2 linked regions of the Arabidopsis thaliana genome follow. The protein of the gene in region 1 interacts with the protein of each later gene in a pairwise test. Each region holds a gene or a part of one and is shown on either strand. Other genes may lie near its edges.

Region 1 (6,225 bases):
CAACTCTGAATCGGTTTTGGATTTTAACACCAACATTGATAATATTGTTCTGTAGTTTCCTCTGGCTGACACAAAGCAAAACACATGGACGAATTTGTAAATGAAAAACCAAAACTTTTAATAGCCTAAACGAAAAGAACATAAACCCTAGCAGTAGCTAAGCCTCAGATGATAAACCCATTTGGACACAGCTGCTAAAAAGCTTACACAATCAATTGAATTAGACGAAACCCAACACGGATTTTTGTAGAAATTTTGAAAGGCGGTCCCTTTTCCATAGAATTATCGAACCCGTCAATTGAAAACGAAAGAAAACTCAAGAACAAAAGCAAAGTCCAAAATGAAAGCTGTTCCAAAAAGGTTAAGAAGTAAAAAGTAGAAAGGAAGGAGAAAAGGAAACCTGTGATTACTTGATGGAACTGAAACAAACGGCTTGAAAATTACAGCCTGTGACATTTAAAGTTCGCAGCTTCTTCTCTGTCGCAGTAGCCGAGAGGAAGAAGAAGAAAGCTACTCTTCTCTTATCCTTTAAAAGTTAAAACTTCAAAGTGGATAATTTTTTATTTTTTCTTAATACTACTTCAAGTCTTCAATAGCATTATAAACCCTTTTTTAACTCAAAATTTAATTCAGTAATTAGAGGCGGGGTTTCATGGAAAATTGACAATGATGCCCCTCTGAGCACCTGCTATTTACACGGCCATACGACATGTTTAAGAGCAATTGCTGATTTGCTTCAATATTTAGCTGATGTGAAGAAGAAAGAAGACTCGTGTAGTCTCGAATTGTGTAAGGTAATGAACTAATGATTGCATCGATTTGTAAAGTCAGAAAGAAAGATGATCTTTTGTCTTTGATTTATATTGGTCCTTTAAGGATATGATACCAAAGAAAGGATAGGCTTTGACCATGCTGTGTAAAAGAAAGCTTCATTTGAAGTTTGCATTTGGCACTGATACTTAAACATAGTTCTTATATCAGATGGATTACATACTCCACATTGCACATTTGACTTCGACTAAAGATCTGAATCAGATTTGAAGGAAAAAAGAGTGGTATTGAATAGGCACAAGAGTTCCAACTAGTGAAATCTCATAAAATCAAATCTAACAATGTTCCCATATGGAGGTGATATAAAACACCTGAGGTTTAAATTACATACGGGAGATCAGAAGAGGGACAGAAGCAGGAGCTTCCTCTTCCATCTCATGTTCGAGCTCTCCATAGCGCTCAAGCACACGCATCCTGCAGTCTTCAGCTGCCAGCACTCCGGTTGAATAAGCACCGTGCACTGATCCCGGGTAGCTTGAGCTAGTGGCTTCCCCCGCAAAGAATAGATTATCCAATGGCACTCTCAGTCTCTCATAGAGGTCGTGAGGTTTGTTCACAATGTCATAGCTATATGATCCCAATGAATTGATGTCTGATCCCCACCTTGATACCAAATAATTTATCTGCCAACAGAAAACCCCATTAGAGCTTGTACATTGGCAAAACAATATAGCAACTCAGGTGAAAGAAAAGGTAGTTTGGAGCAGTACCGGTGAAGAGGCATCTGGAAGAATTTTCTGTAGTTGCGAAAAGGCAAAATTTGCAGCTGCTTCATCGGACTTTTTCTCGATGTCTCTAGCGAGCTGACCAGCCGGCATGTAAACAAGGACAGGATGGCTTGTGGCTTTATGCAGGTTCAAGAAATAACTGCATCCGTAGGAAGTTTCTGCAACGACTCCTAAAAACTCTACGTTTGGCCAAAAGACGTTGTCAAAATTCAATATGATCTTGTTCTCGATTCCAACACCGAGATCGTTGATAGCTTCTTGTTTCCACTGTGGAAGCTTTGGTTCGAATGTTATCATTCCTGACTTTAAGACTCCTAGAGGAAGAGCAATGACTGCAGCATCCGCAACAAACGTGTCTCCTTTCTCTGTAGTCACCTTCACACCACTGTAGCGCCTTGAAATCTTGGTAATTCTGACAAAACAAAAGTCCAATAAGGTTTTAGCTGCAGACTCGTTAAATGGTGGAAACTCCTTCGACAAATGAATCGTACCTGTGACTTAGTCGTATATCAAGACCTTTCGAGAGAGTGTTGATTACAGGGCGATACCCTCTAACCATAAGACCATGTCCACCGGGCAACAGTTCTTCCTGTGAATGTTTCAATTAACAAATCACTAAACGGGGACATACCTCAACCACTAAACCGAGGACAGACATAGAAGTTAAGTTACTAACCTGATCCCAACACTTTGCCGAGATGGTTTCAGCATCAGCAGCAAACCATCCTTCCATGCGGCACAAGTACCACTGAAGCACATTATGGGCAAGTCCCTCCAACCTATAAGTGAAAATCTAATTAAGCATGCAACAAATATAAAAGCGGATAAGTAACAAATCAACGGAATGAGTTGAGACAATATGTTTCCATACCTCAATTCAGGGTTCCTCTTAAATACAATAGAAAAGGCTTGAGCTATTGACATGTCTTCGTCCTGCTCATCCCTGACTTTACAGATCTGCATTTGTGAAACAACTGTTTAGTAAATCAAAGAGGCGCAACATCCATAAAACATAATAAAAGAGAAAGTGGACACCAAGTACACACCTCTTCCAGAATGTGCTCAAAATTTTCGCCAACTTTTGTCACCAACTCTTGAGAAACTTGGTTACCAGCCTTGTCGAACAGAGCATAACTGCAGAAAACATAATTGCGCCATGAGTTTCCAACAAAGAGAGAAGATTACTTAATATACACATTTAGAATATCCACAACGGTTGTACACACCTCTCAAGATCGTGATCATACAAAACCGAATTGTCACCGCTAGTACGATAAAGAGGTAATCCTAATCTACCAATTACTGCAGCCAAAGGATTCTCTTTACAGACACCATGCAACCTGTCACAAAACGATATTGCTTAGTTGGCATCGATGACAAAAGATCCAAACAGCAATCAGTGAAAAAGATAGGTTGAAGGAGCCATGATATTACCAAGATGCACCGAGATCAACTGGAAAACCAAATGAGTAATCAGTGTGAACTCGTCCACCAATTCTGTCACGAGACTCCAATACAACAACCTGAAAGGAAGCATCCTGAAGAGTGCGAGCGGCTGAAATTCCAGCCATACCACCTCCAATCACTATCACTGAAGGTGATCTCTTCTTCTTCATCTTCTCGTCTGTTGAGACGCAAATAGCTGAAACACCAACGCAACATATGAAACAGTTCAGGGCACAACAGAAAATAACAAAATTCGGATTCATGTAATATAACTGAATAACTTATTCATTATCAGACAAAGTATTAAGATTTCATAAAAAAAACAAAAATCATAAGAAGTAAAGATGATACCTTTACGCAGCTGACGATTAGTTTTGCCTCCGGACTCCATGATTCAACAATGAACGGAGTAATTACTCTCAAGATTATTAAAATTAGTACTACTATTACACAGCGATAAAGGATCTAACGATTTCTGCTCGAAAAGAAAGAGAGAAATCGGCAATTGAGGAGAAAAACTAAGAATTGAGATCAGAAGACTCGTATTAGTGAAGTAGCTTGCAATCGAAGGATTAAAACCTAGTTTTCTAAAAAAATTCATGCGATTTTCTCTTATCTGTTTCTTCCACAGAGATCAACGAAGATCAGATTCGAATGCGTAATTTGAAGCAAAACAATGAGAAACAAAATCAAAGAGCGATAGAAAGAGAGAGGCTCAGGAGTCGGGTCGCAGCTTTTTCTATTAATAATCGTGTTTGTTTTCAGAGTGCTGATTTGTAAGATGCTTATTGGTTGACTTAATTAATCACATTCTATACGTTTTTATTATTTTAGTAATTTTTTTCTGCTTCGCTTTAATCGGAAACCTACACGCTCGAGTATGTGATTAGGATAAACTCGCTCCTCTTGTAAGACACGTGTCACTTTAGAAGGACATAATCGGTAATTTGATTTCACCGTTAACTTGAGGAAACTAAAAATCGAGTAGGTATGGGACTCGCTAGTCGTTACGTACGAATCGTGGTGGAGTAAACCACGTTAGCGTTTTCCGTTTTTTGTATAACGTATGCGTTTTGAGCAGTAATATGGGTTAATGTTCATATTCATAGACCCAAAAAAGCCCATGATAATGTCAAATGCAGGCCTAGTCTATCCTTTTTATTTTGTTTTTCTGATGAACCTTGAGAACAAATATAAAAGTATTGACACATGTATGATCTTTAGGTTCCCAACACTTGATTGATACTATAATTCAACTGTTTAAAAATAAGTTATAAGTATGAGACTAACTTATTAGATCTCTATAATACATTTGACTTAGCTTTTATGCTTGCTTAGGCGACCAAAAATAAATAACAATCACCAACTGTAAGAAGAATAATTTCGGAGGAAAACTATATGCCAAGTCAGCCTATTTTACCCATATGAAGACTGTCGGTGGTCGCCGGTGCCGACAGTTGACTTTGCGGTCCCGCCGGAGATCCAAATCCCAACATGTCCGCTGGTTGTTGTTGCACGGTCTGCATCTAATTTAAAACATGACACGTCAGATATTAAATAAATATATTTGTCTTTCTTCAAAACGATGCCGTCTGCAACTGACCTGATTTCCCGCCGGCGGCATCTGGGGAATCCCGCCCATGTACCTAGCGAGCTGCTCCGATAAGATTTGGTTCTGTGCTTGGAGCTGCAACTGTACCGGGTTTTGACATACTAAACCGGGATGGTTCTGCGGAGCGGACCGGTTCATAACCGGGAATTGAGACAATTGCATCTGACTTTGCATAGCCATCTGATTAATGTATGGAGATGATTGTACCCCGGGAAACATCATCGGACTTGCTGCTGCTGCTGCCGCCGCCGCCATTCCACTTCCCATCCACATCACTTGGAGTTGCATTTGAAGTGATTTTAAGTAATCAATTGCTTCATCCAATATCGAAGCTTTATCTGTCTACACAAAAAAAGAAGAAGACAAAACCATATTTAAACACACCAATCAATTACAGCTTAATTAACTCAGTTTTTTTGTGATGAAAAAACTTACTCTGCTGCAGTGAGGTATGAGTTCTTGAAGAGCTTTCATTCTTTCATTGATCCGATCTCTCCTCCTCTGTAATTAATAGACAAAGATCACATCAGAATTATTATTACTGAATGGTTGATCAACTAGTCAGAAATAGTATATGTATACCCTTTCTGAGAGATTATGAACTTCAGCTGCACGGCTTCTTCGAGTAGATCCTGACCGTTGGCTCGATTTGTTACCCATGGTTTGATCATCGGTTGAGGTCAAACCTATATCTGATTGAGACACAGATTCTTGATCAGCATCCATAACATGTTTTCTTTTACGGTCAATGGTTACACTTGTTCCACTAACGGTTTCTTTGTTGTTCCTTCCATAGCTGCAACCGGAGGAGCCACCTGACGAAGTGTCAAGTCTTTCTTCGACGTTCTTGCTTCTATCACTCATAGAAACCGGAAGTGTAGTGGCCTGATGAATATTTGTTGACTGGTTGCTGCCGCAATGACTCGGTCCGACTGTTATAACCGAGGATCTAAACTTAGGAGGAGCCATGGCTTGAGCCTCATGCTTAACTGTCTCTTCGATCGTTCGTGGCTTCTCAGGACCTCCGAGGTGATCGATCGAAGAGAAGAAATGAGAGGAGAACTCGGATTCGAAAGGGTCGATGACGTCATCCGGAGGGTATTGTATCCAGGAGACGGTTTCTTGATCATCTAGAGCAGCGTAGTTAGGCTTTTGTACTGTTTCTTGGTTGTCAAGAAAAATATTGTTGGGTTTTCTTAGGGTTTCTTGTTTGTGGGTTTGGACTTGGACTGACGGTTCTCTACGAGCTTGGCTTTGTAAAACCACTTGACCATCTCTCCACAATAGCTCCACTAATTCATCTTCTGGTCTGTCCCAACATATGAATGTTTACAAACATATTTTAAACAAACAATACTTAAATAGCTATGATTAAGATGTGAAATTGGTATATAATTATGAAATACTTGAATTGGAAAATTGATATATACCTGATTGATCTTTTATTAGTGGACATGTGAAAATTATCTTCAAAATTCCAATCAGCAAACACTTGTTCCATGTCAGATCTGTAAAGACACTTAAATAAAGAATATATTACTTTTTTGTAAGTGAATAAGAAATGATTTGATTCATAATTAGTATAATGATTAACAGGAGATTTGAGGA
Region 2 (7,641 bases), on another chromosome or scaffold:
AGTCTGTTGTTTCTGTAGTTCTTCCAATAGTAAAACTGTTGTCTATGCGCCAATTCCTGGAAAAATCCAGATTCAACCGAAGACAAAGTTCAAAACTTAAGAAAACTTCAACAACAATAGATTTCCTATAAGAAATTCTGACAAAGGACATAAAGTTTAGAATATTAAACAACTTTCTCTATCTCATGAATAGATGGGCATAAACGCAGAATCACAGAACCAAACTAGCAGAACGTAAGCAAGGTTTTGTACTAGAGAGACCCTAAACTCTACAAGTCCCCAAAACACATTCCAAAAACACCAGTACCCTAACATTTTGAACCACTCCCTATTCACAATGCTCACTAACATGCTGATTTCACTTGATGATTCATATCGTATTCTTGTACCTTGTTTGCAGGATGAGCCATAGCAGTCCTGAAGTTGGGGTTTTGAAGAAGTTCAAGGAAATATAGGCAGTGTGGGTACCTGTAACAAGAACATAGGAAACCAAAGATATATTATCCAAACCTTCACAAGACTCTACAAGACTACACCAATTCCATAAGATATTCCAACTTACATAATGAACTTGATGTACTCTGGTCGCTGCCAGTATTGAAGATACTTCAAGTATCCAATAAATGCTTCATCTTCAAAATACCGATTCTGTGCCAGGTCTGCCAAACAGTAACCAAAAGCAGAATGTGGTAAGTACAAACCCTAAGCCTTAGAACAAATCCCTTTTTAAATCTCAATTTCGAACACTAAAACCCTAAGCCATAGAACGAATTCTAAACTTACAGTGGATGTAAGTAGGATTGGCGAGACATTGAATAAATTCAAGTTCCAGTAAGAATCGTTGCCTTCCACCGTCGGGATCCTTGTAAGTGTTTTTTGGCCTGTAGAGATGCGAATTAGATAATAAAAGAGCAGATTTGAAGAATATGAAAGTGTACAAGAGGAAGAAGATGCACTCACGGGGATGGAATTTCTGATGCATCATCACCCATCTCCTCTGGCGAAGCCATGAACGAACGGAACCTGAAGCAAATTTGGATTCTCCCAATAGAGGAATCAGACGGAGGTAGACGGAGGATTTTGGTTCTGATTTCTGAATTGAATTTTGGTTATAAACCAAAGGCCTAAACCGGTTCTGAATGCAAATAGAAAAAGAGATTGGAAAATTAGTACAAAATTACGGTTTAAGAAGCGGTCTTTTTTTTTTTTTTTCCACAAGAAGCGGTCTTAAAAGAACCGTTATACTCGGTAGCAGATGGAGAAGTCTCTGCCCAAACTTGGAGTTACTTTACATTCAAAGATTCACTTGGTGGCATTTTTAGTCATGTTATGAATCTCTTTCTTACTTATCTCAAGATTATGAATCACAAGGACAAATCTTGAATTTTGAAACATGGACCGGAATCTTTATGCAATCATACAAAAGTTTTTTTGTGACCAATCGATATAGATGTTGCAACTCTTTGTCATGCTAACTATGGTTGAGGATTATAGCAGACAGAAAATCTGAGGACATTTGGCTCCAATGAGTTGGCCCTCAAAAATGTATACTGTACATTGTAATGTTGTAATCCCCGCAAAATGTGACAGCTAAAAAGCTAGAGTTTCCCACAGTTAAAAAAAAAAATCAAAAGACAAGAGCCATCAGACCCTGGACTGACCTATGCAACTCCCAAGACAGTTTTCGTATCCAGCCTGCGTGCTGTACTCAGTTCTTACTTGCCAATCAACACCTTGTGCCAACTTGCCAAGACAAGTTCTGTTTCAGAAGTTAATGGCCTTCAAATTCAGGTGATGGCTTTACAAGTTTTCACCATAGCTTGTGAATCCCAATTGCTAAATCTGATGAGATGGAGACGAGCAGCGGATAAGAAGAGTGCCACTCGGCTTTGAACACTCTTTTCTTATGAGCTTTCATCGAGAGAGACGGGCTCGGTGCATTGTATCGGATATCAAAGATGTGGATCACGGGGTCTGCAGAACCAGATGAGATGTGTAAACCATCTGGAGACCAAGACTGATTAATTAGAGCCGACTGCGATTCACTGCTTTCTTGCTTCCACCCAAAAGAAAATAGTTCTGTCTGAGGCAATCTAACATCATACAACCGCAGTTGCCGGTCTAGCTGCCTGCAAACACAACACAAGCAAAAGAACGGACTTTAAGGCAATCGCTTCTTCTGGGATATATATAAATCAAGAGTCAGTTTTACCTCGTGTTAACCATGACAAGATTAACATCTCGCGGGTTTGGCATTATATTTGTGCATCTGTTGTCTAGTCTATGTTTAAATGTGACTTTTTCTTCTCGGGCATCAAACCCAACAAATCTCCTATCGTCTCCACATGACAAGACGTGATTGTTATGGCGCATTCCAGTAACTCCCATCACAGCCGACGAATGCAAGTCCCTATGCAGAAGCGTCGGCTTCCACGCATTATTCTCACACTGATCCCGCCATAACACTACTGCATGGTCACTCCCACCTGTGATGAAGCAAGGATCATCCCAAGGCGTAAACATGATTCTGTTGATAAGACCTTTGCTATGAGGCCTGTCCTCCATAAATTGCGACTCACATCTCTGCAGATGAACAGATATCCAAAAAGAAATGAGCACATAACTAACTTCCCCAAGGATAAAAGACTATAACCATCAAGTTAGATCTTACAACTAGTAGATAAGTCAAGGGTCGAATCAAATTCCCAATTATTCCAGCTATATTGATTTTTTTCTTTCTAACAGGTTATGAAGACCAAGTTAACTTTCTACAAGTTTAAGCACACACTCCACTCATGAATGTCCAATCGCAAATTTAATATGGTAAAACGCTAGAATGTGCTACAGCATTCATATACTTTTACCTCTCCAGCTTCATTCAGATATATGGCTGATATCTGAGGGTGACCATCATCTGCAGTATACACGGAGAAAAGTGCATTCTTATGTGGATGCCAAGCTATATCTTCTGCCCATTTCTTCTGATCTACTGCTACCCGATTAACCGTCTTAAACAAAGTAGCGGTGGACCTGCTCAATGGTGAAAGCATGATGGATAGGTTAGTATCCAACGAAATTCAGATTAAAATGTTCACGAAAATAAGAGTAGAAAAAATTGTACAAAACTCTATCTCTTAAGATCATGTACAACTAAACGTTGCAGCTTGTTGACAAATATAAGTGAAACTAAATTTCGCCTACTTATCACGTGGATGGATGAAGGTGATGTCAACTGGAACTAGAAATACATAATTAAAATTTCTGATACATATGAAAATCAAGGAATTCTATATGGATTTGAAGTTGAATAATCCAATAACCCCTCCTAAAACCATTTAAACCCCCAAGAAATCAGAAAGAAATATCATAATCAGTAGATCAGGCATATTTACAGGAGACTTACCTATCAGACTGAAGCTTCCAGAAATGAACAGCCCCATCCAATGCACTGAAGCATAACCAAAAACCAAAATCAAGAGAGGGAAAAGAAAAAGATTAAGCACATGAGTCGAGAGTATATTAGGTTAGCTAATTGACCAATGACTTTCTTGGTTCCATGATTCCCTCTTATGCATATAATATCATTTCCTTAGTAAAAAATCCAGACAAAGCCCCAAGCGACAGTTATGAGACCGAATTTCATCCAGGAGAATGGCAGATAATAATTTAGGTAGCATCTTCTATTCACTTTTGGAAAAGAGAAAAACATAAATAATGTAAAAAAGCACCTTGTAGCAAATAGCTCACGGTTGGAAGGAGAAAGAGCAAGACTTCTCATTCTTTTCGTGTGGCAACTTGGTAGCATGCCGGCAGTACGGCCTTCAATTGTGGGACGCAAAGAGCTTCTACCTATAAGTGCTATCAACTCATCATGTCCTCGGAATTCTGTAAAGAACAAAAGAAACAATAGATTCAGAGCAATGAGAAGGTAAGATGTGGCAAATCGACCAAATGAATGGCTTTTACCAGATTTTTCCTGTTGTCCTTGTTGAGAAATGTTAGAAGAAACTCTGATCCTTGGCTTTGCCAAATCCTTATTAGTGTGGTTATCTGGAGCTTGAGCAACTTCATTAGGAATACTACGAGATCTCTTGTCAAGACCACTTTTGTCTTCCTTTGGGACATTAGAATCCCTTGTAGCCATGGGCTGAGCTGCGTTATCTCGACCTTGGGATTCCCTCACCACTTCATCAGGAATACTCCGCAATCTCCTGGCCTCAGGGCCACTTTTATCTTCTTTTGGAACATCATAACCCCTCGTAGCCATGGGTTGAGTTTCCTTATCTCGATCTTGGGTTTCCCTTACCACTTCATCAGGAATACTACGAGGTCTCTTGGCCTCGGGGCCACATGTGTCTTCCCTTGGAATGTTATAATCCCTTGTAGCCATGGGTTGAGCTTGGGTGGTCTCATTTACTTCAGCTCTGACGGTAGCAGAAGCTCTTCGTTTAAAAGAAGGCGGTAAGATAATGGATGGCAATTTCAAGGATTCCATCTCACTAGGTGATTGTGGAGTAGAGTTTTCATTGGCAGTCTTCGTCTTATTTCCCTCGTTCCAGAACTCTGCTATACCAAGTATACTTCCAGTTTTACCAGGCGCTTTTGGTTTTGACTTAGAAAAGATACCATTTCCAACACGATCAATTTGTAAAAATTTAGCCTCCGCATCTGCCATCAGTTTTCTCTCTTCAGCAAGCTGCAGATACATCAGAAGTTTTAAGAAGAAGACCAAACAGTAAGACTCTCGCTTGCACATTCCAAGGGAAGATATACGCAGAACATGAGAAAACAAAAAGCTGGAAACTTTTGAGTTTCTATTAGGTGTCCTTTAAAATTATCAGCAAGAAGATGGCAATGAACTCCAATTGAAACGATAACAGAAAATCAAAATGGGAAAATCCTAAAAGCTGTGAACTAACAAATGCAAATGCCCAAATCAACAAAACTATACAATAAGCTGCATCGAATCTGAAAACTGCAAATGGAGATTAAATGAAACACAACAGAAATCAGCTACAAAAACAAATTGATCAAAGGAAACTTCTGAAATTAAACCTAGACATTTGAATACTGTAGAGGTGACTGAATATGAAAAGCTGCAATTTGCATAAAATTGAACTCAAATTGAAACAAGAAGAGCAACTAAAAACCCCGGAGAAACGCTACTTTCAGTGAAGTACACAATAAGCGATACAGATTCCAAAATCTGAAGAACACATCGCCGAATTAGCCAAACAAAGAAAACGAAAAAAATGAAGAAGAAAGAAGAGACCTTCCTATCCAAACTTGAGATTTGGTCTTTAAGGCGTTGGATTGATTTGGCACGCTGGTCCATAAACTCTAAAAGAGCTTCTCTATCATCTGGGATTTGAGTCGAGAACGTTCTCGCTTCTGCTTCTACTTCTACTTCTTCCCCTTGTTCAATTTTAGGTTTATTCATCGCCGTCGTAGCCATTGCAGACTCGGTTCGTCTTCTTCCCACCCTTTTATTCCCGCCCGATCGTGCGTAGTGGGGATTGCTTTTTCCCTCTCGTCTTTTCAATTTTGGAACCTCATGTTTTTAACTTTTCCGGTTTTGCCGCTTCACTTACTAGGGCTTATGTAGTCGTGTGCAGCTCCCGTGCTCTCATTGACAAAACCAGAGTGTGTAAAGTGTAAACACAGATTCGCAAAAATTCTTTGTGGAAAAAAAAAAAAAAAAAATCGCGTGTCCTTTTTTTTTGTTTATATTAAAAAAAAATCCTATAGTTTATTCGAGTATTGAGGTCTTTGACGGAAGCACAGTGATACATCTCTTAAACAAAACAACAAATACATGTTCAGTTACATTGGTAGCTGTGATTATTGTACTGAACATAAAAGAGACTGTGTTCTATGAACTTTTTTTTTTTTTTTTTTTTGATCAAAGTTTTCTATGAACTTAAAACTCTCATTTCAGCATACAACAAAATGAACAATTTAAGAAATAAAATCAAAGTATGTTTGTATACCAAATTTGGCATGCAAAAGGTGAAAATCTAAAACAGTCTAGTCAAGAAAACAGGTTGGTAGCTTCATCATTCAGAAAATGTACACAGAAGCAATGGAAGTCAGAAAAGATGTCAAGAGTATGGAGACAAAGTTCACACCATTGTTGTCAAGAATGTCCACACCTGAAATCTTCTTTACGGTTGGACCCGGTTTCCCTACAACCTGCACCATGCATAAATTCAGTCAACTACTCTTTTCCCTCGATCCTACATATGTATTTACATGTATGTTCTTTTAGACTTTACCTTGTTCCGGACAGAGCAGAAACCACTGAATTGAATGGTTGCTCCTAGTATAGAATCAATAAGACTCCCACATAGTCCAGCTAGTGCAGAGAGTGGTATGACTAAGAGTTGCTTTAGAGCTACATCACTTGCACAACTCGCGGTAAAGAGTCCGAAGATAAGGAATGTTAATCCAACAGTGGTGCCTGCTGCCAAGGCAGCTAAGAGTCCTGCCTTTGTAACTCCACCATTTGTGCCCTTCTTCACCGGCTGTGAGTGAGACCAAACGTTAAGCGAAACAGACAAAGTTCATTAGCGACTTGCAAAAAAAGGAACAGGACAAACCTTAAACGTTGTGATTAGTCGAGGCTGGGCATCACTAAGAACCCCAAGCTCTGAGGACCAAGTGTCTCCATTACAGCAGGCGTAATGACCAATGATCCCACCAATAAGAGCTGTTACAATTTCTGACTGCTTCGAGTCCAAACACTTGTCCTTCCAACCCGTTAAAGTACAAGCAATTACAACTAGAACTGAAGCAATTCCACTATTGCATAGCACTTGTACCCTGAAACAAGATATTTGAGGAATCTTCTGTCAAAACAACCTTTTGTTGGTCATAAATAACAACTTCTGAAAGTGAAATCATTTGCTAATATGTCAATGGAAAATTAATTTCATGTTACCGACCAACACGATGTTGAAAGTAAGACTAAATGCTATTCACTATAGACTCTCAAAGATCTAGAGTTCATTCCCCCTCCTTGATCAAAGACTCTCAAAGACAATTCACAATTTCAAAAATCGGAGCCTACAAAAAAACGAAGAAAGAAAGAAAGGAAATGTACCAGTTCCTTTGTCCACCTTCTTTGAACTCAACATCAACGCGTCTTTTTTTATCTTCGCCAACTTTGGTAAGTTTCGAGGAAGTAAGAAAGAATACAAGCAGCAGAGCTCCGTACCTTTCAGATTCAGCAGATTAATCCGATCAAACCCGTCGGGAAACGATTGAAAACAATTTCTCAACGAAAAAGATAACAGATAAAATCTCAAAAACAGGAGAAGAAACCTGAAACCGGCGGTGAAGTGAATGGTCATAACGAGGAATCCAGCAATTCCACCGGAGAGATCGAGCGACTTCCGCTTGTACGATCGGAAAGCGATGAGAGAAGAAATGATTACGGCGAAGATAAGTCTGAATTGCGGCGACGTTTCCATTTCTTCCAGTGGCGGAGAATCTGTTGACGACGAAGATTCAGTTCAGCGTCGGGGAGAGGGTAGTTGACCCCAACGTCTTCACTGATTTGATGTATTTCAAGTGTTGGTTACATGTTAGTTACGCAGGCTCGGACCTGGTCTCAAAACATGGGCCTCAAATGGGCTGACC

The links. The genes of interacting proteins can lie anywhere in the genome.
Region 2: the proteins of PAO3 (region 1) and AT5G19920 interact in a two-hybrid assay, tested with the Arabidopsis thaliana proteins (one large-scale study listed by BioGRID).

What each region holds. Positions count from the first base shown.
Region 1 is NC_003074.8:21,823,778-21,830,002, forward strand, and holds PAO3 (polyamine oxidase 3), read right to left. Parts: upstream 3,733-6,225; 5' UTR 3,397-3,732; coding exon 3,357-3,396; intron 3,202-3,356; coding exon 2,994-3,201; intron 2,900-2,993; coding exon 2,786-2,899; intron 2,694-2,785; coding exon 2,606-2,693; intron 2,517-2,605; coding exon 2,431-2,516; intron 2,339-2,430; coding exon 2,236-2,338; intron 2,149-2,235; coding exon 2,051-2,148; intron 1,972-2,050; coding exon 1,542-1,971; intron 1,455-1,541; coding exon 1,155-1,454; 3' UTR 919-1,154; downstream 1-918. Other genes in the region: AT3G59040 (Tetratricopeptide repeat (TPR)-like superfamily protein), read right to left, coding at 1-142; PIL6 (phytochrome interacting factor 3-like 6), read right to left, coding at 4,412-4,531, 4,609-4,959, 5,053-5,118, 5,200-5,926, 6,048-6,118.
Region 2 is NC_003076.8:6,731,812-6,739,452, forward strand, and holds AT5G19920 (Transducin/WD40 repeat-like superfamily protein), read right to left. Parts: upstream 5,686-7,641; 5' UTR 5,456-5,685; coding exon 5,273-5,455; intron 4,697-5,272; coding exon 3,967-4,696; intron 3,886-3,966; coding exon 3,729-3,885; intron 3,449-3,728; coding exon 3,404-3,448; intron 3,031-3,403; coding exon 2,865-3,030; intron 2,584-2,864; coding exon 2,213-2,583; intron 2,130-2,212; coding exon 1,811-2,129; 3' UTR 1,400-1,810; downstream 1-1,399. Other genes in the region: MED31 (SOH1 family protein), read right to left, coding at 1-56, 235-324, 390-468, 563-659, 784-881, 961-1,010; AT5G19930 (integral membrane protein (Protein of unknown function DUF92, transmembrane)), read right to left, coding at 6,061-6,192, 6,276-6,524, 6,600-6,822, 7,103-7,216, 7,324-7,472.